Linked DNA regions of Stegostoma tigrinum. Each later gene encodes a partner of the first gene's protein in a complex. Links are inferred from orthologs where the notes say so. Each region holds a gene or a part of one and is shown in the gene's direction. Other genes may lie near its edges.

What was found.
Region 2: the proteins of nfs1 (region 1) and LYR motif-containing protein 4 are in contact, whole or in part, in a crystal structure (PDB 6W1D), measured with the Homo sapiens proteins. The link is inferred for Stegostoma tigrinum from reciprocal best matches to the Homo sapiens genes NFS1 and LYRM4. Residues at the interface, in NP_066923.3 of Homo sapiens: Leu56, Arg57, Pro58, Leu59, Pro68, Leu69, Pro71, Arg72, Leu74, Asp75, Leu78, Glu314, Tyr317, Arg321, Asp372, Arg412, Phe413, Thr414, Thr415, Glu417, Glu418, Tyr421; in NP_065141.3 of Homo sapiens: Phe23, Tyr26, Asn27, Tyr28, Thr30, Tyr31, Arg34, Arg35, Asp38, Val65, Arg68, Gln69, Ile72, Thr78, Asp79, Lys80, Leu81, Ile82, Ile83, Asn85.
Region 3: the proteins of nfs1 (region 1) and iscua are in contact, whole or in part, in a crystal structure (PDB 6W1D), measured with the Homo sapiens proteins. The link is inferred for Stegostoma tigrinum from reciprocal best matches to the Homo sapiens genes NFS1 and ISCU. Residues at the interface, in NP_066923.3 of Homo sapiens: Tyr360, Val361, Glu362, Glu364, Ser365, Leu367, Met368, Ala369, Lys371, Glu399, Asp400, His403, Ser404, His429, Arg432, Leu433, Glu435, Met436, Ser437, Pro438, Leu439, Glu441, Met442, Trp454, Thr455; in NP_998760.1 of Homo sapiens: Tyr35, Val40, His42, Tyr43, Glu44, Val49, Gly50, Ser51, Leu63, Val64, Gly65, Ala66, Pro67, Ala68, Cys69, Gly70, Val72, Lys74, Phe90, Lys91, Thr92, Phe93, Gly94, Cys95, Gly96, Ile99, Lys135.

The regions. Positions count from the first base shown.
Region 1 is NC_081372.1:9,304,785-9,312,775, reverse strand, and holds the start of nfs1 (cysteine desulfurase, mitochondrial), read left to right. Parts: upstream 1-4,979; 5' UTR 4,980-5,092; coding exon 5,093-5,192; intron 5,193-5,708; coding exon 5,709-5,782; intron 5,783-7,991.
Region 2 is NC_081355.1:11,434,530-11,442,388, forward strand, and holds the start of LYR motif-containing protein 4, read left to right. Parts: upstream 1-4,758; 5' UTR 4,759-4,948; coding exon 4,949-5,034; intron 5,035-7,859.
Region 3 is NC_081379.1:29,049,563-29,056,997, reverse strand, and holds the start of iscua (iron-sulfur cluster assembly enzyme ISCU, mitochondrial), read left to right. Parts: upstream 1-4,392; 5' UTR 4,393-4,476; coding exon 4,477-4,560; intron 4,561-6,874; coding exon 6,875-6,988; intron 6,989-7,435. Other genes in the region: sart3 (squamous cell carcinoma antigen recognized by T-cells 3), read right to left, coding at 301-405, 706-832, 3,725-3,868.

The DNA.
Region 1 (7,991 bases):
TAACGTAATGTCCCAAAATGCAAGCGTGCCTTCATCACCACTGTGTCCACCTGTGACACCACTTATAAAGAACTATGTACTTGCACCCCTAGGTGTCAGTATTCAACACTGCCCAGGGCGCTACTACTAACTGTGTAAGTCCTGCCCTGGTTTGTCTTACCAAAATGTGACATCTCACATTTATCTGCATTAGACACCATCTGCCATTCCTCAGCCCAATAATCCAATTGATCAAGATCCCATTGTACTCTTAGATAACCTGCTTCATTGTCCACTACACCACCCATTTTGGTATCATCCTCAAACTTACTAACCATACCTCCTACGTTATCATCCAAATTGTTTATACAAATGATGAACAACAGTGGAGCCAGCACCGATCCTTGCAGCACACCACTGGTCACAGGCCTCCAGCCTCAACAACAATCCTCTACCACCACCTCTGTCTTCTACCATCAAGCCAATTTTGTATCCAATTGGCTGGCTCTTGCTGGATTTCATATGATTAAACCTTACTAACCAATCTACCATGTGGAACTTTGCTAAAGTCCATGTAGACAACATCTATGGCTCTGCCTTCATCTGTCTTTTTGGTCAACTTTTCTAAACACTCAATCAGTTTGAGAGAGGCAATTTCCCACACAAAGCCATGGTGACTATCCCTAGTCTGTCATTGCCTTTCCAAATGCACGTAAATCCTGTCTCTCAGAATCCCCTCCAATAACTTACCCACCACTGACGTCAGGCTCACTGGTTTGTAGTTTCCTGGTTTTTCCTTGCAGCCTTTCTTTAATAATGGCACAATAGCCATCTTCTAAGTCTTCCGACACCTCACCTGTGGCTGTCAATAATATAACTATCTATGATAGGAGCCCTGCAATTTCTTTCCTAGACTCACTGGGGTTAAACTTGATCAGGTCCCAGGGATTTATCTACCTTTATGGGTTTTAAGACTTCCAGCAACCCGTCTTCTGTAACGTGGACTCTTTTCATGATATCACCACTTAATACCCCAAGTTCCCGATCTTTCATGTCTTTCTCTGCAGAGATTTTGATTTGCACCAAGACTTAGAAATTAAGATCAAAGTGAACTGCCTAGTACATACAACATTAAAGTCTGTGAGAAGCAACATCTTGAATTAATTATTTTTCTCAGCCTGATACCTGCTGCAGTGTTCCTACTGATAATCATTTAATTAATTTTAACTAAAATCTCATGTAAATCACTGAGACACAGGTTGAATCTCAAACTGATGTATCTGCATTGGCAAGACTTTTCTCCTGGTGGGGAGGGAGTGTCTGGGTATCTCGATTCAAGTGCTCCTGCAACTGAACAAAACTGCTTCAAAAAGACCAATTTCTCAAACAGGGACATAACATTAAAGTTAGAACAGAACCGGAATTTTCCCAATAAACTGACCAAGACATAGTGAAAGAAAGAATAAAGAAAATACTTGCATTTTTGGATTTATTTTGTTCAGATATGTTACGACACACCCCTGGAGCAAGTGGAACATGAATCCAGGGCTCCTGGCTCAGAGATAGGGACACTAAAGAGTCACAGTGTTGCTTCTTTCACTCTCTGCATTGTCAGACTGAAACACAATCTTTCGTGTTAGCAAATGGATGCTGTGGTTCAAGACTTGCACTTAAATAGTGCTTCTCGTGGAATTTCAAAGTACCTTCCAGCCAAATTTACACACAGTAAACACCACAAACAAGGTAATCATAACCAAATAATGTTTCTGTGATGTTGATGATTATTTGTCAGGGTTTTAAGTTGAACAGCTCCACTCTTTAAAAACTAATGCTATGGATCGTTTACATCCACTCAAGTGGACAGATAAGTCCTTAGCTTGGCATCTCGTCTGAAAAAACAGCATTCCTACCATCTCACTTCCTCAGTAGTGTGGAGTATCAGCCTAGATCTTTGTGCTCAAGCCTGGATTGGGGCTTGAACCTAGATTTTTGACTCAGAGGCAGGAGAGTTATCCACTGACCCACAGCTGACACTAGAAAAAAAAGCAGGGGGAGAGAGAATTTCAAACAGCCAACATGGACAGAAAGGATCAAATGACTTCTTTCTGTGCTCTAGAATTCTATGAAATTGAAAAGAAATCTTGTTGCTTTTAAATACTGAAGCAAAAAATCCAATTGTAAGTTATGTGTCACAGTAACTTTACTAATCAGTCCAATATCCCGGAAAACAAGGTCAAACAGTTTTCACTGCTGAAATTACATAATTGATCAGCTTTGGAAAAATTATTACTTTTTTCTGTGAACTACCAAATAATTCACAATAGATTTGCTCAGAAGGAAGATTGTTCTATAAAAATCATACAAGTGTCCAGGGTAGTCAAATACCCAGACTGTTACTAAACTGATGAGGTGTAATGGTGTCTGTAAACCGGAAAAGATGTACCTGGTTCAAGGCATCTGCTTCATTCATTCTAAGCGTTGTCAGATTGAAACATTCCATCATGTTAACAAATGAATGCAGCGGTTCAAGAAGAGAGCTCACCACCACCTCCTCAAAGATAACTAGGGATGAGTAATAAATGCTGGCCCAGCTAGCGATGCACGCATGCCATGAATGAATATAAAAGCAGCAATTTATCGAAGATCAACAACAGGGTTAAATAACAGCTGCAAATTTTGTCCATTGCTTTGTTTTTATGAAAAGGAAAAGGGTATTCAGTCCTTCAAGGCTCTTGCAGCATTTATTCAATCACAGCTGATATGCATCTTAGCTCCATCTATAAGTCTTGGTTCTGTGATCTGTATGGAACGGGTTAACAGACCACAATGCATTTATAGTGGCGATGGTTTTGTAGAAACTGAACAGGTGCAATTGATGCTTGTTAACTGCAGTGACACTGATGAATTAAATAAAACAATGTTAATTCAATGGGACTGTTAATTACAGCAGAACTGGGTGAAACAGGCAGAGGTAGATTGAAAATAGACAGGCAATATCGGCAGAAAAGAACTGAAATTGCTGTAAACACTCAGCAGGTCTGGTAGCATCTGTGGACAGAAAGCAGAGTTAGCATTTCGAATCTAGTGACTCATCTTCAGAATTGAATTCTGAAGAAACTTTGAGTTCTGAAGAAGTGTCCTTGGGCCCAAAACATCAACTTTGCCTTGTCTCCACTGATGCTGCCAGACCTGCTGAATTTTTTCAGCAAATTCAGTTTTTGTTTCGGATTTCCAGCATTCGCAGTTGTTTTGGGTTTTTGGCCATTATAACAGATGTGAAAGAAGTTCTCTTCTTAATAGCGCTATGGGTACATTGCAACAGATGGATGCTAATGTTCAAGACAGAGGATCACCACCACTGGACTTCAGGGTAATTGGGGACGAGGAATAAACACCCATTTGTTAAGCAAGAGTCAAGAAAAAAAAACAGAAGACAAGTGTCAATGGGAACAGCTGTGCCTGTTTCAAGTAGGAAAATCTGAGTGAAAGATCACTGCTAAGTGGCCAACAGACACTTCAGATAGACCATCTGAAAGGGTAACTGAATGACTTAAATGAAACCATTTCGTTTAAATTTCTCAATAAAGTTGCTGGATTTAGTGTGAGACATCCCAATTTTAATTTTTGTTCTCCAAGTTTAAGAAAAACGGGTAAAATCACTCACAAGCCCTAGTACTCTCACCTTACGAAGTCAGTTAATCTCCATTGTCTTGAGATTTCCAAGTGGCCACCAACCACAAAAGCTTCCTGCAAACAGCAAACGGCAAACGATGTGTGTTTTATTGCTTAACGTGAGCCATGCCATAAAAATTCCGAATGCAAAAGTACTGCCAATGTTGAAATAAGAACTGAAAGTAGCAACGTCACACACCACCTAAGGGGAGAGGTGGAGGGATAACATTAACAGAGTCCAGCATTTTATTGTTTCGTGCATTGGTGCCAACATCGTGGGTTGAATTCCCAGAGTGGTTGAGGTTACCATGAAGGACACTCCTCAAGTTGCCGCATCGCCCGCGGTGCGGAGACCCTCAGGTTGGACCACCGTTAAGTCCTCAGCCCTTTCGTCTGGTAACACTATGGCGACTTCACCTTTGGAGTCATGATTAAATCACACTGCAGTGCAATAAAACAAAGAACTGCGGATGTTGGGAGATCTGAAGCAAAAAGAAAGAGAGGTAACCCTCAGAAGAAATTCGGGCAGGTCCTGGCAGCATCTGCGAAGAGTGTTACCGTTTCGAACCCTGAGACCCTTTCTCTTCAGGCACAGCAGAAGAGACACTGCAGGTCTGTCCTGAGAGATGGAGCCTTCATGGCCTGTGCCCACAGCCTGCAATTCATATGTAACTCACCCAACTCGTCGAAGGATCTGCATCCAGCAGAATTCAGCTACTGTGGTTACCCGTCCACTCTGTGTCTCTCCACTCCAGACACACTGATGCAGCAGGTTGCAGTTCTCAGCCAGGAGGTGGGGGAGCGGGTAGTTTTGATGGGCAGGCGCACCGACCAATCGACGCTCGCACAAGGGGGGGTGAGAATGGGGAGGTTTTGATGGGCAGGCTCTTCGCCCAATCGCATCTGACGTGGGGAAGGCGGATACGTCGGACGGCCATTGATGGACAGCAGCAGCGCCCAATCGCAGTAGCCACAGCTGTCGAGCCCACGTGCGTCGACGCGCCGGCTCACGTCGAGCCCGGCATCTCCTTAGCAACAGACAGGTCAGAGCGTTAGGTAGAAGTTTGCGGTTTTTAAATCATTGTTGAATGCAGGAAACAAGTGGAATTCATTTAAGTTAATAACCATTAAATAAATCGGTGAATTCTAAAACAGCTGACTGGTTTACCATGAAATAATGAACAGCCATTACAAAGTGTTAACAATACCATCTGATCCCTCGCTGTTTCGTTGATCTGATGTAGATTACTGGTATAACATTTATTTCCGGATTATTCTTTTTTTTGACATTCGTTTTCTCATATGATTGGCTTCCCGGGGCATCCAAAAGCGTCATTTCCGTTGCTAAGGTGAGAGGTCACCGACAGCTTCCGGCCTGTAGCTCAGCTGTTTATCGCAGGGCTTTCAACGTGCCTCGCATAAGGGGCACTTTCACTGGGATATGCTCGGCAGAACTGCCCTTCGGGGCATCGTGGGGGCCCGAGGAATCCTGTGCAGGAGGTTCGGCGCCTCACAGAGACGCAGGGATGGGGATGAGAATGGTGAGCCTGCGTGGTGGGGAAAGGGAGTGGAATGGAGATGGATTAGAAGATGGGTTGGCGGTGGCAGGTGATGGGGATGGGTTGGGGGAGACTGGGAAGAGGGAAGTGGATCGGGGCGATGCGTTTGTTGGGTGGGGAGGCGGCGGCGGCGGCGGCGGTGTTGGGGAGAGAGAGAGAGTGTGGGAAGTGGATTGGGGGGGCGGGTGAAAGGGGATGGGGGCGTGGTGGGGTACTGGGAAGAAGGAAGTGGAAAGTGGGTCGGGGCGATGCGTTGGGGGGGGGGGGGGGGGGCGCGGGTGAAAGGGGAAGGTGTTTCGGGGGGGGGGGGGGGGCGCGGGTGAAAGGGGAAGGTGTTTCGGGGTGAGGGGAGTTGCGTGGAAGGACTTGTTGAGCAGACGGATCGGAATTAGACCGGGTGGATTTTGAAGGGCGAAATAGTGGTTAGTGTGATACTACCTGAGCTTCACTCGTGAAGGTATTTGCTAAAAGTTATGTAATTTTCTTGCGTTTTTCCAGATAACGATTCTTTAAAAGATTTTAAAGATAAAATTCGACCTCTGTACTTGGATTTCCAGGCAACCACACCAATGGTAGGAATGTTTGATGCATATAATCCAATGAGATGCAAATTAGAGGAGTTTTTAAAGTTGTGTTTGTGTAATCGGATGGCTGACCAGTTAGCCCCAGGCATATTGAATTCTAGACTCAATATTGTTGTGCTCCTAAGATGCTGCTTGGCCTGCTGTGTTCATCCAGCTTCACACTTTGTTATCTCAATATATTGTATCTCCCTTTCCCTTCTGTGATCCTCTAAAGATTTCTGTGCTTCTCTGATTCTGGTCTGTGACCATTTCCACATTTAATTCATTTCCAGTGGCGTATTTGTGTTTATCTGAGTGGGTTCTGAGCTCTTGAATTCCCTACGAAGCCACTTCACCAATTTTAAGATATTCTTCAAAACCAACTCCTTGATTAAGCTTTTGGACACCTGCTGTAAAAAATTCCTTGTGTTCCTTGATGGTGCTTTTGTGAAATGCCTTGGTGCATTCATTACGTATAGGGTAATTCATGATATTTTGAAATGAAGTGTAGTAAGTTTTATTTTTAAACTGTATAGACCGCAGTGACCGGTTGGTGTTTAAACTCATAGAGATATGCAACATAGAAAAGGACCTTGCACTCTTATTTGTCCATGCTGACCAGACATTCTAGATAAATCTAGTCCCGTTTGCCAGCATTTGACCCATATCCCTCTTAAATTCTTCCAGTTTGTACTCCCATCCGGATGCCTTTTAAATTTTGTAATTGTACCAGCCTCCACAACTTCTTCTGGCAGCTCATTCCTTACATGCTGCACCCTTTGCATGAAAAAAGTTGCACCTTATGTCCCTTTTTAAATCTTTTTCCCCCTCTTAGCTTAAACCTTGTGGGGAAAAAACTTTGTTTATTTATTCTATTCATACTCCTCATGATTTTATTAATCCCGAAAAGGTCACCCCTTAGCCTCTGATGTTCCAGGGAAAATGGCCCCAGCGTATTCAGCCTCTCCCTATAGCTTAAACCCTCCAACTCTGACAACATCCTTTGTAGATCTTTGCTAAACCCGTTCAAGTCTCACAATATCCTTCCTGTAGCAGGGAGACCAGAATTGAACACAGTATTCCAAAAGTGGTCTAACCAGTGTGCTGTACAGCCATAACGTGACCTCTTTGCACATTAGCCAAAAAAAAAGCAAGCATACCAAATGCCTTCACTATCCTATCTACCTGTGAGTCCACTTTCAAGGAACAATGAACCTGCACTCCAACGTCTCTTTGTTTAGCAACGCTCCCCAGGACCTTACCATTAAGTGTGTAAGTCCTGCCTTGATTTGCCTTTCCAAAATGCAGCACCTCACACTTATCTAAATTAAACTCCTTCTGCCGCTCCTTGGCGCATTGGCCCATCTGATCAAGATCCCGTTGTACTGTGAGGTAACTTTCTTTGCTGTCCGTGACACCTCCAATTTTGATGTTACCTCCAAACTTACTTACAATACTTACTATGTTCGTATCCCAAACTATTTAAATAAATGATGAAAAGCAGTGGACCCAGCACTGATCCTTTGTGACACCACTGGTCACTGCCTCCAGTCTGAAAAGTAATCCTCCACCACCATCCTCTGTCTTCTGCCTTTGAGCCAGTTCAGTATCCAAATGGCAAAGTTCTTCCTATATGCCATGTGATCTAACCTTGCTAACCAGTCTACCATGAAGAATCTTGTTGAGCACCTTACTGAAGTCCATATCATTCACTTATACCACGCAACAATAATTTTCGTTACTCTTCAAAAAGCCTGATCTAGGTATTGAGACGTGACTTCCCAAACACAAAGCCATGTTAACTATCCTTAACCAGTCCTTGCTTTCCAAATACACGTTGGTCCTGTTCCTCAAGATTGTCTCCAACAACTTGCCCACCACTGACATCAGGCTCACTGATCTTTGATCTTAGATCCCTGGCATTTCCTTACGATCCTTCATAAATAGTGGCACCATGTTGGCCAACCTTCAGTCTTCCAGCACCTCACCTGTAGTTGTCAATAATAGAGATATCTCAGCTAGGGGCTCAGCAATCACTTCCCTTGCTTCCCACAGAGTTCTAGGTACATCTGATCAGGCCTGGGGACTTATAAGCTTTTATGTGTTTTAAGCTAACCAGCACCACCACCTCTGTAATATGGACATTTTTCAAGATGTTGTATTTATTTCCCCACATTCTTTACCTTCCTATCCTTCTCCACAGTAAACACTGCAAAAT
Region 2 (7,859 bases), on another chromosome or scaffold:
GATAAATTAAATTGAACAGTTTTTTTTGGGGGGGGGGTGGTGGGCGCGGAAGTGAAACAAGAACAGAGATGCCTGGTGATGTGTGTGCTTATTCTTTAAAAATGCAGGACTAGTTGAATCCTTGGTTTTTTTTTAAAAACAGAGGAGTGTACACAAAAACAAACAAGGTATTCTAAGAGATAATGGGAACTGCAGATGCTGGAGATTCCAAGATAATAAAATGTGAGGCTGGATGAACACAGCAGGCCAAGCAGCATCTCAGGAGCACAAAAGCTGACGTTTCGGGCCTAGACCCGTCATCAGAGAGGCATTCTTCATCAGAGAGGTATTCTAACCCTTTAACATACTGGTTAAACATCAGCTATAATATCTTGTTCGATTCTGGAGTTCACACTTTAGGAAGAACGTCAGGGCTTTGGAAATGATACAAACATGATTTACTAGAATCATCCCAGGGTTTAGCGACTTCAGTCATGCAGAGATGTTATTTACCAAGGAGCAGAAAAAGAATAGAAGTTAATTAGATGAAGTGTTCACAGTCCAGAATGGTTTGCAAAAAAATAAATAAAGGACACAAACGTAAGATGATTAGCAGAAGAACCAGAGACCACAAGCAAACATTTTTGTCACTCATCATTTCGCACATACCACAGATAGAACATAGAACATAACAGCACAGTACAGGCCCTTCGGCCCTCGATGTTGTGCCGACCTGTCATACCGATCTAAAGCCCATCTAACCTGCACTATTGCACGTACGTCCATATGCTTATCCAATGACGACTTAAATGTACCTAAAGTGGGCGAATCTACTACTGTTGCAGGCAAAGCGTTCCATTCCCTTACTACTTTCTGAGTAAAGAAACTACCTCTGACATCTGTCCTATATCTTTCACCCCTCAATTTAAAGCTATGCCCCCTCGTGCTCGCCATCACCATCCTAGGAAAAAGGCTTTCCCTATCCACCCTATCTAACCCACTGATTATCTTATGTGTCTCAATTAAGTCACCTCTCAACCTTCTTCTCTCTAATGAAAACAGCCTCAAGTCCCTCAGCCTTTCCTCGTAAGACTTTCCCTCCATACCAGGCAACATCCTAGTAAATCTCCTCTGCACCCTTTCCAAAGCTTCCACATCCTTCTTATAATGCGGTGACCAGAACTGTACACAATACTCCAAGTGTGGCCGCACCAGAGTTTTGTACAGCTTCACCATAACCTCTTGGTTCCGGAACTCGATCCCTCTATTAATAAAAGCTAAAACACTGTATGCCTTCTTAACAGCCCTGTCAACCTGGGTGGCAACTTTCAAGGATCTGTGTACATAGACACCGAGATCTCTCTGCTCATCTACACTACTAAGAATCTTACCATTAGCCCTGTACTTTGCCTTCCGGTTACTCCTACCAAAGTGCATCACCTCACACTTGTCTGCATTAAACTCCATTTGCCACCTCTCAGCCCAGCTCTGCAGCTTATCTATGTCTCTCTGCAACCTACAGCATCCTTTGTCACTATCCACAACTCCACCGACCTTAGTGTCGTCTGCAAATTTACTAACCCATCCTTCTACGCCCTCATCCAGGTATTTATAAAAATGACAAACAGCAGTGGACCCAACACCGACCCTTGCGGTACACCACTAGTAACTGGTCTCCAGGATGAACATTTCCCATCAACTACCAGCCTCAGTCTTCTTTCGGCAAGCCAATTTCCAATCCAAACTGCTATATCTCCCACAATTCCATTCCTCCGCATTTTGTACAATAGCCTATTGTGGGGAACCTTATCGAACGCCTTGCTGAAATCCATAATTTCCTTAATAATAATTTCCTTACTTATTCTCAGTCTGAAAAATCAGAATATATTTTGAGACACAGTACATCAGTATACTTTTAAAAGATGAGCTTGTGATATCATCATTGTATCATAGAATATGACCTAATTGTATAAACACTGCATACTCCACCTTAAGTAGATCACTTGAAGTATGAATTGCTACTACAAGTATGATGCTCAGCTATAACATTAGTGTAACACTTATCTGTAACTCTTACGTGTTTGTAATTCAATAATTATACATGATAACCAGTTGAAATAAGCATCTATTGGATCCTTCAACAGTACACTCCGTTGAGGTTGTACTGGATCTTGGATTTGGATTTCTGCTGCTTTGGACAGTGGATGTTCAGGCCAATTCAGATTGGGTCACTTGGAACATAAGAATAAACTAGTGAGCAAGCAAACTAACAAATACATTTATGCATCATCCAGATAAGTCAATTTCAACTGAGTAACAAAAAAAAAATGCCATGCACATTCAAAAATACCCAGTTTCTGGACAATTCTGGTTTGTAGACTGCCAATTTTGAGAATGTCTACTTGTAATTATTTAAATCTAACTGTCTTTGTCAATGAATTGATCAAAGTTGGGAAATGAGAATGTCCCAGATTTACAACTTGAGTGAAAACAGCACATGAATAATTTATTACACTGTTTAGATCTACAGAATGGCTGTAAATTGGGAGAGGGGAGTGTGCAATAGGACCTGAATGTTCTTGTGCACCAGTCAGGTAAGCATGTAGGTGCAACAGGCAGTAAAGCAGGCAAATGGTATGTTTGCTTTCATAGCGAGAGGTTGAGTGTAGGAGCAGGGAAGTGTTGTTGCAGTTATACAGGGCCTTGGCAGGACCACACTTAGAACATTGTGTGCAATTTTGGTCTCCTTTTCTGAGGAAGTCACTCTTGCTCTCAAGGGACTACAGTGAAGGTTACCAGGCTGATTCCAGGGATGGTGGGACTGACAAGTGGAGAGATTGACTAGATTAGGATTATTTTCGCTGGAATTCAGATGAGCGAGTTGGGGGGGGGGGGGAAAGAGGGGAGAAGAGGAGATGTCATAGAGACTTTTAAAATCTTAATGGGACTGGACAGGGTAGATGCAGGGAGCCTGTTCCTGATGGACGTGTCCAGCACAGGGGTCACAGTCTAGGGATTTGGGATAGACAGAGAATGGAGATGAGGAGATACTTGTTCACCCAAAAGTGATGAGCCTGTGGAATTCATTACCACAGGAAGTAGTTGAATGTACTCAAAAGGCAGCCAGATATAGCAGTTGGAGTGAAAGCAGGATTAGGCTCTTGAGTTGGACAATCAGCCATGAACGTGATGATTAGCAGAACAGGCTCGAAGGGTACAAATGACCTCCTCCTGTTCCTCTATGTTTCTCATCATACTTTGGAAACAACAGAAGGATTTAAATGGATTTCTCCTATGATAAGATCAGTAGGCTATTGGGACATGGAGTGATCTGTACAAAAATGTATAGAGACTAAGTGTATTGCTAATTTTATTACTCCAAAACAAATTCCCTCTCAACTCACTTGGTGGCAGTCACTTATTATCAATACTACCAGAATTCCTGCTCCATTAAAAAAATCTCAATAGAGCCGTGGTAACTGTGTAGATGTGACCAATGCTGTGTGAGATTAAAAAGGCAGCATATATTTTATATTAACTAACTTATAGATCAAATAGCTATTGACAAGCAAAACCTCATAAGAAAGCTCTAAGGGAAAACTCTTTTCAAGCACAAATGGCAATATTTTGAATAAGTGCTTTGATTTGTGTACAAGATACATGTGACTAAGAACAAGGTAACACAGAATTTACACCAGAGAAACTGGTCTGTTTATATCACACATCTCCCACATTTCAAACAACATTGACTCCATATTATGCAGAGATAGTAGGAATTGCTGACGCTGGAGAATCCGAGATAACAAAAGGTGTAGAGCTGGATGAACACAGCAGGAAAGCTGACATTTCGGGTCGAGAAGGGTCAGCTTTCCTGATCCTCTGATGCTGCTTGGCCTGCTGTCTTCATCCAGCTCCACACTTTGTGTACTCCATATTATCCAATTGGCTTGAACACCCACAGTCCAAAGAACCTGACCAGAAATCCAACAAAGTCTAAAATCTGACGTAGCCTTAGTCTTGAGATTTCTGGTTGAGTGAATGTATTTGTGCTGTGATGAAAGCAGAATTGTCACCTTTTGTTAAGTACATACCAGCTACATCATTTCTACATATCTTTCTACCCGCTTTTGTCGTACACACCCTCCTCTACCCCCATAATCCTGCAAATCCCAATTCGTGGAGGAATCTGTCTCTACCACTCTTTCAGATAAAAGGTATTCCAGACCCTAATGAGCCTCCCGGTGTGAAAACGTTGCTCATTGCCATCCACTTTATTTTAGTTTCAGATCTCCAGCACCAACGGCGTTTCTGCATTGTTTCGCGTCCTTTTTGTACAGGCTGCGTCACAGCCAAAAATGAGAGATCGGAGGAGCGCTCAAAAGTTGCGTGCATGAAGAACAAAACCTGATAACGATTATTAACCCTGCCCAACAGCAAGTAACTGTGCAATGAATTGCATTCCTCGAGACACCGGACGTGGTTCCCCGACACGTCCCTTCTATTTTAGTCTCAGGATTATAAAAGAGAACTCCTTTTTGGAACGATGACCTTGTTTAAAAAAAAAGGAACCACCACGGGCATATTCTATATCCCTGTGCTCTTAACATGCACAACTTCTCACGAACCAACTCACCTTCTTTGCAAAGATACAACAGTGACACCGTCCCTTCCTTGACCTCTTTTTTCCCCTCCCACCACCTCAACAACACAAATTGACAATAGTAGGACACTGTCTTGCCAGTCGAGAGGAGAGAACAGTTTTATGAAAATAAAAGGTGTTAGAGAATGCGAACAGTGGATCCTACTTTTAGGATTTTGCAAGGCAAAAGCAGAACGGACGTATTCAGTTTTGTTTTGAATCCTGAACGGTCGAAGGTTCCACAGGACAGCCGTTGCCTGCACAACGTTCCATTTCAGGCACGCGCGCCCAGCCACCGGGGTCCTGCGTGGTAAAGACCGAAGAACGAAGATGGCGGTGCCCACAAGCAGTCAGGTCCTGTCTTTATACAGGTTGATGCTGAAAGAAAGCAAGAAGTTCACCAGTTACAATTATAGGTAAAAAGAAGTAATTTTGTTTTCCGCCAGGGAATGTTGATATTTGCTACGTACTTTGCTTATCAATCCCATGTCACACTCCTCCATCCCACTTAAGCCGCAATTTAATTTCAACCACTGACATTTTATTTATGTAGCCGTTCTTAATGCGAGAAAAACGGGCAAAAACGCAATCAAAAGCTCGCGCGCGCGCGCGCACACACACACACACACGGGAAAAAAAAATCTCAGGCAAAAGCGAGATTAGAAGCGGCGAACAGAATTTAAGTTTGATATAATAGGAACTGCAGGTGCTGGGGAATCCAAGATAACAAAGTGTGAAACTGGATGAACACAGCAGGCCAAGCAGCATCTCAGGAGCACAAAAGCTGACGTTTCGGGCCTAGACCTAGGCTCTCTGATGAAGGGTCTAGGCTCGAAACGTCAGCTTTTGTGCTCCTGAGATGCTCCTTGGCCTGCTGTGTTCATCCAGCTTCACACTTTATTATTTAGGAAAGCTGACGTTTCGGGCCTAGACCCTTCATCAGAAATCTGAGAGATCGGCTTTAAAGAAAGGTTTGAAAAAAAGGGATCAGTGGGAGATCCACAAAATGTCAGACCTGACCAGGGATAGGTGTGTTTCTGGCTTTGGGTCCTGGATAAAATTCAGAAACACTGGGTGAGACCATGAAGGGATTTCAAACCAAGATTGAGAAGTTGAAGGTGGAAGTGTCAAGAAAGTCATATGTTTATACATTGTCTTTCATGATCGTTGGAAAAAAATCAAAATGCTTTACAATCAATTAATTGTTATGGGAATGTAGGTCACCAATGCCAGACTAAAGCTTGATTAAGATTTTGTGCTGAATAAGATAGAGTTGCAACAACAAGAGCTGAGGAAGGGGTCACCTGATGAAAAACGTTAACTCTGATTTTTATTTTCTTCACAAATGCTGCCAGGCCTGCTGAGCTTTTCCAGCAACTTCAGTTTTTGTCCCTGATTTACAGTATCTGCAGTTCTTTCTGTTTTTATTTAGGATACAATCTCCGGACTTTTAGATGTATTATTAAAGTCAGTCCTTTTACAACACACATATTTCCTCCAGCCCTTCACACACTCACTGGTCATCAAGCATTTATCTGCTCATTCAGAGATAGTAGGAGCTGCCGACTCTGCAGTCTGAGATAACAAGGTGTAGAGGTGGATGAACACAGCAGCCTGGGCACATCTTGTTTTTTAAGCACTTGGCCCATAGCCTTGTATGTTACGCCTTGCAAGTGTTTATTGAAATACTACTTAAATGTTGTGATCGTTCGCACCTTTACCACTCATTCAGGCAGAGCTCTGGATACCCATCACTAATTTGGTGAAAATGTTCTTCCTTGAATTCCTTCTAAACCTCCTGTCTTTTAAATCTAAACTGCTCAATTACTGAACCCTCTACTAGGAGAATTTTCTTCCTTTCGAACTTTCTATACCTCATAATTTTGTATTTATCAGTTAAGCCCCTACCTGTCTTTTGTCCTTTAAGGGAAACAACCCCAGTCTATCTAGTTTCTCATCATAGTTGAGACGCTCCAGCCCAGCCGATATCCTGGTGAATCCTCTCTAGAGCATTCACATCCTTCCGACAGTGTTGTGACCAGTACTGCACACAACAATCCAGTTGTGGTTTAACTAACATCTTTTGCAGCTCCGTCAAAACTTTTCTGCTCTTGTATTCAGCATCTTGACACATAAAGACAAGTATCCCATGATTTCCTAACCATTTCATCTACCTGTACTGTTGTCTTCAAGGATATGTGACATGAACAAAAATCTGTGTGATCCTCTGTACTTCTAAGTACATTGTGTACTCCCTTGCCTTGTTTGTGCTCCCAAAGTGCATCACCTCACTTTTCTGGATTCAATTCCATTTGCCACTGTTCTTCCCTTCTGACCAACCTGACTGTATCATCCTGTGGTCTAAGGCTTTCCTGCTCATTTACCACACCACCAATTTTCCTGTCATCTGTAAACTTACTGATCAAACCTCCTACATTCATGCCTAGATCATTAATGAGCACTATAAACAATATTGAACCCTGTGGTACAGGAGTGTATGGGCTTTTACCTTCTTGACCAGGATACTGGTATGACATATCCTGTATGACATCTTGTCAAAAAATTTACTGAAGTACATTTAAAGTGCACAAGCTGCCCACTGTCATCTCCACACTTATTAACCACTTCAAATAACTCAAATCAGACTTGTCAAATACAATCTCGCCTTGACAGACACATGTTGACTATCCTTAATTAATCTTTGTTGGTCCAAATTGAGATTAATTCTGTCCTTCAGTATGCTAGCCTTGTCCTCCTAGGTGGTAAAGATTGTCAGTTTTGGAAGGTGCTGACAAGGGAACTTGGGAACTTGCTGCAGTGCATCTTGTTCTTGATGATCAAGACCCATTAGTTTATTTGCAGCCAAGTAATATCAAACATCTAATAAAACAAGACAAGTCAGTTAACAGCAATGTGCCTTTACCTAAGAAGCATAGCCTCAAAAAAGGTGTCACAAATTTAGGAGGGAGATGACAAATTTCTTTACTCAAATGATTCTGAATTCTTGGAATATTCTTTCTTTTAGAGGCTGAATATGCACAGCACTGGTTCAAAATAAATATTGAAAGGTTTTTAGAGGATTAAGGGATTTGAGAGATACAAGAATAGTGCAGGTAGACAGAGTTGAAGTAGAGGATCAGCCACAATCTTATTAATGGTCGGAGCAGCGAAGAATGGCCTGTTTTTCTGTTCTGAGCAGAGAACAATGTCCCAAGAAAAGCATTTCGAAAGCTGAAAGCTA
Region 3 (7,435 bases), on another chromosome or scaffold:
AGCGTTGATTTAAAGCTGAGGGTATTTGCAAATGAGAAGAACTAACTTTCAAGATTTCATTATTTGAAATTACATATACTTTTAGTCTTTTGATACATTCACAAATTAATAAACAAAGTCTCTTTCCTCCTTCCCACTTCAATTCACTGGGGGAGCTAGAAAGATTAACACTTTGCCCAGCCAACAGCTACGTTCTACCTGAAGCAGAACAGTGGGGGATATGTTTGTATTCATCAAAGAAAGCTGTGATTACTCAATGTTAAGAGTCAGGCAAACACTAAAGTGTAAAAAAGAGCTTACAAATATAATCTTTGATGGCCTTCTCAAACAGTTCATACACTTTCTCCCTGTCAGTTGATCCCTCTGCCATTAGAATCTCATCCTTTAGCCAGTCCAGCCAAAGCTCTGAAAAACAGAATTGGATTGGTTTCCTCAATATAACTGAGAACAGAACCTTCACAAACAGAACTAGTCAGGATTACGAGAGCTGTGGCTTTAAGGTTGCCATGTCAATAACAGAATGTTCACATGATCAGTTTCGAAGAAACAGGAGAAATTTTTAAAAAAACAGCCAAAATCTTGTGGAAAGTGGATTAATTCAAACTTTTATCAGGATGCTGGTCATAAACATATTACAAAGTCTGATCTGCATTACATTATCAGGTTTCAGCTGGTGTTGCAATTGTCTAACAAGGATAGTCTTACCTTCTGTAAGAGGGAACAGTTCACTCATCTTCTGTCGAGCAGCTCGTAACTTCTCCAGCTCCCCCTCCTGACGCAGCAATTTTATTAGATCGACATGACAGTTGTAATCATAGGCACTTATGGAAAGCTAAAATAAATGGCACAGATTACTGCTGTCCTCATGCCAGTGATTAATATTAGAATACATCTGTCATTTTATTAAACTTTCTAATAGCCAATTGGTTATCAATAAGTCTGCTTCTCAATTTTTAAACTTGTCATTCACATCAGACAAAAATGGGCGTCTATTTAGTCTATGGCAAACCTTGACAACTGTGTTAATGCCACAAAATAAAAACATCAAGCTTCCTGGCCAATGACATAACAAGCATAAAGCCATATGAAACTCAGAAGTAAAATGTTTTAAACAGATAAACAGAGGGTTTAAAAATACCCTTTCATCATCACTTAGTGTGAAATGATACACTATTTTACATTGTTGCATAGAGGACTGCTCTACCATGAAAACCACAATATTCTTCTGTAAAAGTGCAGCCTTATTGCTTTGAGGGCAGCAAGTCTCTGTAAACATGGGAACAAATCGGAGGTAAGATTGACTCTTCAGTGTCTTTTTTCTTCCTACTGAATAATTTTATTTATAATAAATCAGATTTCAGTATTTCACTGAGCATGAAGTACTTCAGTCCACAGAATTGTGGTAATTTCCATAATTGAACATAGTCGCCCAAGTGGAATAAAGTACTTCCACTGCCATAAACGGTATACAATATAAAGAATCGCATTACTGTTCTCCAGAATCTCACTCAGTTTACATATGGAAACTGCTGAGAAAGTTGTTTACATGGAGATATAGCTGGGACACAATACAGCTTCCAGAGCTAAACCGTTCTTAGACGTCCGTGATATCCAACAATTTTCAAATAAATGACCTCACTTGAGATGTTGACGGTGAATCCTGACAGTTTATCTTACACTTTCACTATGTTTGAGTATGATGATCTCATTGCACTGGTGAGAGTTATAAACAGCTTACGTCTGTAATTTGCTAGCAAGAGAACTGACTTAAATATCACACTCATTAAACTGGCCCATCACAACTGGCACTTAAATTTTTCACAATAGCATTGGAAAGGATAAGCAGCAGATTCTTGAGGAACCACAGTGTCCCAAATTTCTGAGATGTGACTTTAGTCTAGATCAAGACTAATTAAAGTTTAGTAATGATCATAGAGTCTTGAGAAATTTAGAAAAAATAGGAGTAGAATTAGGCCAAGATAACAAAATGTGTAGCTGGATGAACACAGCAGGCCCAAGCAGCATCTCAGGAGCACAAAAGCTGACGTTTCGGGCCTAGACCCTTCATCAGAGAGGCTCTCTGTGAAGGGTCTAGGCCCGAAACGTCAGCTTTTGTGCTCCTGAGATGCTGCTTGGCCTGCTGTGTTCATGCAGTTTACACACTTTGTTATCTTGGATTCTCCAGCATCAGCAGTTCCCTTTTACCTCTGAGTATAATTAGGCCATTCAGTCCTTCAAGTCTGATCTGCTTTTCAATATAATAAGAACATATAAGACATAGGAGCAGAAATTAGGCCATTCGGCCCATCGAGTCTGCTCTACCATTCAATCACGGCTGATAATTTCCTCAGCTCCACTCACCTGCTTTCTCCCCGAACCCTTGATCCCCTTGATAATTAAGAACCTATCTATCTCCGTCTTAAATGGACTCAATTACCTAGCAATCATCAATAATGATCATCCTACTCAGTAGTCTGTTCCCACCTTCTCTCCAAACCCTATGATTCTTTAGCCCCAAGAGCTATATCTAACTCCATTTTGAAAACATTCAATGTCTTATCTCTAACAGCTTTCTGTAACAGATAATTCCACAAGCTCACCAGTCTGCATGAGACATTTCTTATCTCAGTCCCTAATGGCATTCTCATATTCCTAAATCGTGACCTCTAGTTTGGATTCCTTTTATCAGAACTATCCTTCCTGCATAAAGCCTGTCTAGTCCTGTCATAATTTTATAGGTTTCTACAAGATTCCAACCTCATACTTGTAAACTCCAATGAAGATTGTCCTAACAAAGCCTTCGTATATCAGTCTTGCTGTCCCGGTGTCAGCCTCGTAAACCTTTGTTGCACTATCTCCAAAGCTGGAACACTATTCCTCAGGTAACAAGATAAAAACTGAACACAATACTCTAGCTTCGCTCTCAGCAAGGCCCAGTACAATTTCAACAAGACATCTTTGTTCCTGCAGTAGGATCCTCTCACTAAGGCGGCCACCTGCTTTCTTCACTGCTACATGTGTATGCTCACTTTCACTGACTTGTGTACAAGGTCACCCATGTCTCTTGGACCTACTCCTTTTCCAGTTACCATTTAGATAATAATCTGCCTTCCTGTTTTTGCTACCAAAGTGGATAATTGCATATATATCCATTATACTCCATAGCTGGATCCAAGCACTAATCCCTGTGGTAACTTACTAGTCACTGGCTGCCAGTGAGATTTATTGTGAGTCAAGGCATATGCTTCAAGTCATTTGGATTTTATTGGTCATGACTTTATCATACATACATAGCTAGAAATTGGGCCATTCATTCAACTCAGCGTGAACCTGAGTACTATGCCCCAGAAAATTATATTTTCTCTCCGTAGATGACCTCAGGCATTTTGCCTTTCTCTTGGCTCTTCGAAGGATTAGTCCTGACTACGTGGTTTTCAAGTGATTTTTCAGATGTTTGTTTTACTTCGGCAATGACGGAAATGTTTTGGTTTACTTATTTCACAACAGTGAACAGGCCAGGCGGACAGGAGTCAGCAGGAGGTCGGAGGAATGGGAGAGGGAACTTCGGGGTGAGTGGGGAGGGGTCGAGAGTGCGTGGTAGAGGTGGGATGAGGGCGAAAGGGCTGGGAGAGTAAGTGGGACTGGGACGGGGCTGGGGGAAGGGGGAGCTCGTGCTGAAGTTTTAAATCCCGCGGGCTCACTCCCGCCCGCCATCACGTCGCACCTGCTCTTCCAAACGCTGGATTTCCGCCTCGTTTTCTTGCTCGTCCTCCGAAGAGTCTTCCATTTCTTCCTCCGAGTCGCCCCCGGTTCCAACCTCCAATTCCTCAGCCTCACTCGACCGTCGCCTCCCGATAGTCGCCATCATGCGCAGCAGTGCGGGAAAGGCCGAGACGCCCGATCAAATAGAACACTTCACATCCTGAGAAACACAACTACTTCTTATAGAACAATTCCTTATTTTAATAGAAGCTTCAGTTTGAAGTACAATTCCACGCATTACAGCGGGAGCTGTTTTAAACAGAAATTTTCGGGAGAATATGGGACAAATGGATGTAATATTTACAACATAACAACGCGACATGTGGGCTTTAATGAAACTGACGATTGCATATGACGAAAGCGGGGTACGAATTGTCACCATATTGGTAAGGCCGCGATGCAGAGCGCGTCGCGATGTTTTGTTTACCTTCCAGAGCGGTTTTCAGTTGGTAACGCAACCACGCAAGGGGCGTGCCCAGCCAGCCACATGGTCACGTAAGGGGCGTGGTAAACAAAACAACATAGGGACACGTTTGTTAGTGGCGCGTTGCTCACTCGTCAATGCGTCCCGTGGGGAGGGCGTGGTCAGTGCATGACATAACCACGCGGGGGCGTGGTCAGTCTTACGTAACAGCACTTGTTGGAGGGGGTGTCAGTGTTGGTGACGTCGGGCGGTGAAGTAGGAGGTTGTGACGCACTCGGCTATTGGTAGTGATGGCGGCGGTTATAATTACTGGTTCTCTCTCGCGGCTTGTGCTGAAGGCTCGGGCACCCCTCGTCGCTGCTTATCACAAAAAGGTAACTGCGCTTGGGAATGGTAGCAGCCTTTACTCTGCGCCTGGTCCCGAGGCTGTCCACGTTGGGGTGGGCCAGGGGAGTCCGCAAATTCCCACTGTAGTGAATGTAATTTAATCTAATCTATTCAAAACGGCAGGTAGGAGGCTGTTAGCTAATGAGAGCACCGTCTGGTGATGAGGGTGATCTTACATATGCCGTGTGGCATGAGCGTTTCTAACACTTAGTCTCTAAGGATACAAAAAGTGTTGTGGCTGCAGTTAAGAGGGTGTGCAGGGGAAAGTGGAGTGGTGGGTAAAGAAGGAATGCCTGTAAAAGTAAAGCAGAATGGCTACTAGAAACGTGAAACAGAGTGAGAAAATGCTGGCAAAACACAGCAAGTCTGGCACCGTCCGTCGAACGAGAAAGTTTTCTCAATGCCTCCGGTCCATTATAACCGAATCAGCGTGTGTACCACGCTGTAGACAAATGGGATGTTGGAGTGAGTGTGACAGATGGCGAGGATACCAGAACAGAAGGCAAAAGAGTGTATTAACGGTGCCAAAGAAGACATTGAGACTTGAAAGAGGTGCGCAAAGAAGAAAATGCGTCTGCTCTGCTGACAGCAAAGTTGACAAGATGCAAAGTGCCAGAGTTTGGGTGGTGTGCTGTAATCGAAACAGAGGAAAGATGGCATGCCCTGGAGGGATTGAACTCAATGTTGTGGAGGCTGTTGCTTTTTGGAATGGGAATTGAGATGCTGTTCCTCCAGCTTGTGCTAAGGTTTGATGGAACACTGCAGCTAGCCTAGGACAAAAATGCTCAATGACAGCGAGATAGTTGAAATAGCAAGCAACTGGGACATAATTCATTCTTACAAAGTGAAGGTATTCTGCAAGCCATTTGTCTGTTTTGTGTTTGGCCTCAACAATGTGAGTAGCAAGTGATAGATTACATGCAAAGTAGTACAAGCAAACTACTTCCTCACCTGGAATGTGTACTTAGGGCTGTGAACAGTGAGGAGGTCAAGTGATATGTAATCTCTAATTGTATAGAAATATGCCATAGAGGTGAGGAAGTGTCAGAAGTGAAGTAGAGAAATAGATCAGGGTGTCTCAGAGAATCAGTAGTGGGGAATGGAAAAATGTTTGGTATTGTGGTTGAAGGAAAAAAAACATTTCAAAGGCAACCCTGTCAACACTTGATGGAGAAACTTGGAAAATGGAATGCTGTCCTTGTACAAGGAAGTGTAGCCAAGCATTTTGGGTTTTCTGAAGAAGGGGTCTAGACCCAAAATGTCAGCTTTGCTGCTTGGCTTGCTGTGTTCATCCAACTGTACACTTTGTTATCTGAGATTCTTCAGCATCAGTTCCAAATACAACTGTCTAGAGTTGATGGGTTTGTAGTGGATACTGGTGGGCACCCTATCCCCAGAAATGGGAATAGAAGACCAGGAAGAGTCAGAAGTGGACCTCGTGGAAGTGAAAAGGATAGAAATTGAGGGATTGTATATTCATTGTGAAGGGGTGGCAGCTAGGGCCAAAAAAAACAAATTGTGGAGCCAATGTAAAGCATCAGAAGAGTCACGTGTATATGGGAAGAAAGTGAATAAGAGGAAAATAAGAAATATGTGGATCAGCGAGAAGACTGAAATTGTGGATCTGTCCAAGCAGCCTATTTTGTGGATTTTGGGAAGAAGGTTGTAGCAGGCTGTGCAGGGTTGGGGATAATGAGGTGGGAAGTAGTAATGGGGATAGGTCCCAACATCATCTGTGGAAACCTATGATTAGCGATGGGGTCGTAGTCCAGATGGAAAGGGTGGAGGGGGTGTGGCGGCAGCGTGAGCGTGTGGTGTTGAGGAGAGGCAGGGGGCATGGGCATGTGGTGTTGAGGAGAAGCAGGGGGTGTAGGCATGCAGTGGTGATGAGAGGAAGTTGTAATTGAATTTATAAAGTATTTTGGGCAGCAGTGCTGTACAGCTGGTGAAATATTCTTCATGTCTAGTCCAGATTGTATGCAATGCAACAGCCAATTTGCACATTACAAATAAAACTTCAGCAAAGAGCTGTATGGTCTTATGACCAAATTATCTCTGGATAGATTCTGACCAGAACTGTGGAGGTAATGCGGTGGAATCTTTTCCACCCACCTGATAGGGCAGACTGATGTCTTTCAAATGACGACAGTTCCGACAGCGCTGCGTTCTGTCGGTCCTGAACTAGACTATAGGCTTGGTCTTTCTTTGTGCTTAATGAAACTTGAACACAGTTTTGAAATCAGAAGCTAGAGTTCTATTGAGTCATCATGACTTGCACTATTGTATTTCCTTCTACCGTAGGTAGTGGACCACTATGAGAATCCCAGAAATGTTGGATCCTTGGATAAGAATGCAAAAAATGTTGGAACTGGCCTGGTTGGTGCACCGGCTTGTGGTGATGTCATGAAACTACAGGTAAAGTTTTTTGAGGTGATCCAGGATATGGGTAGCAATGTATTTAAATGTAACATTATCAATTGAGCCATTATGTCCCTTTTTAATTTATTTAGCAAAGTTGAAGGGCTGCGTATAATGGTTCAGTTTGCTTCCCAAAGGTAAGATATGGGTCACCATTTCAGAGAGCTCTTTGGATGAATGAGCTGTTCTCAGTCCAGCAGTTGGCTTCAGTGCCATAGTTAGATGAATTAAATTTAGAGCTCAACTTTTGATCAGTGATCCAGAGAAGTTTGCGTTTAAACGTAGCATGTTCTTCAAACCTGTAAAGCTATTAATGTCTATGGAGCCATCTCCTCAAGCATTGGCACGTTCAAGTGAGGGGAGACAGACAGACAGAAAACTGAATAGCATAGCACACCAGAAATCATGCATATTTTTTTTAAAAGTTCCCCAAACTTAATAGGG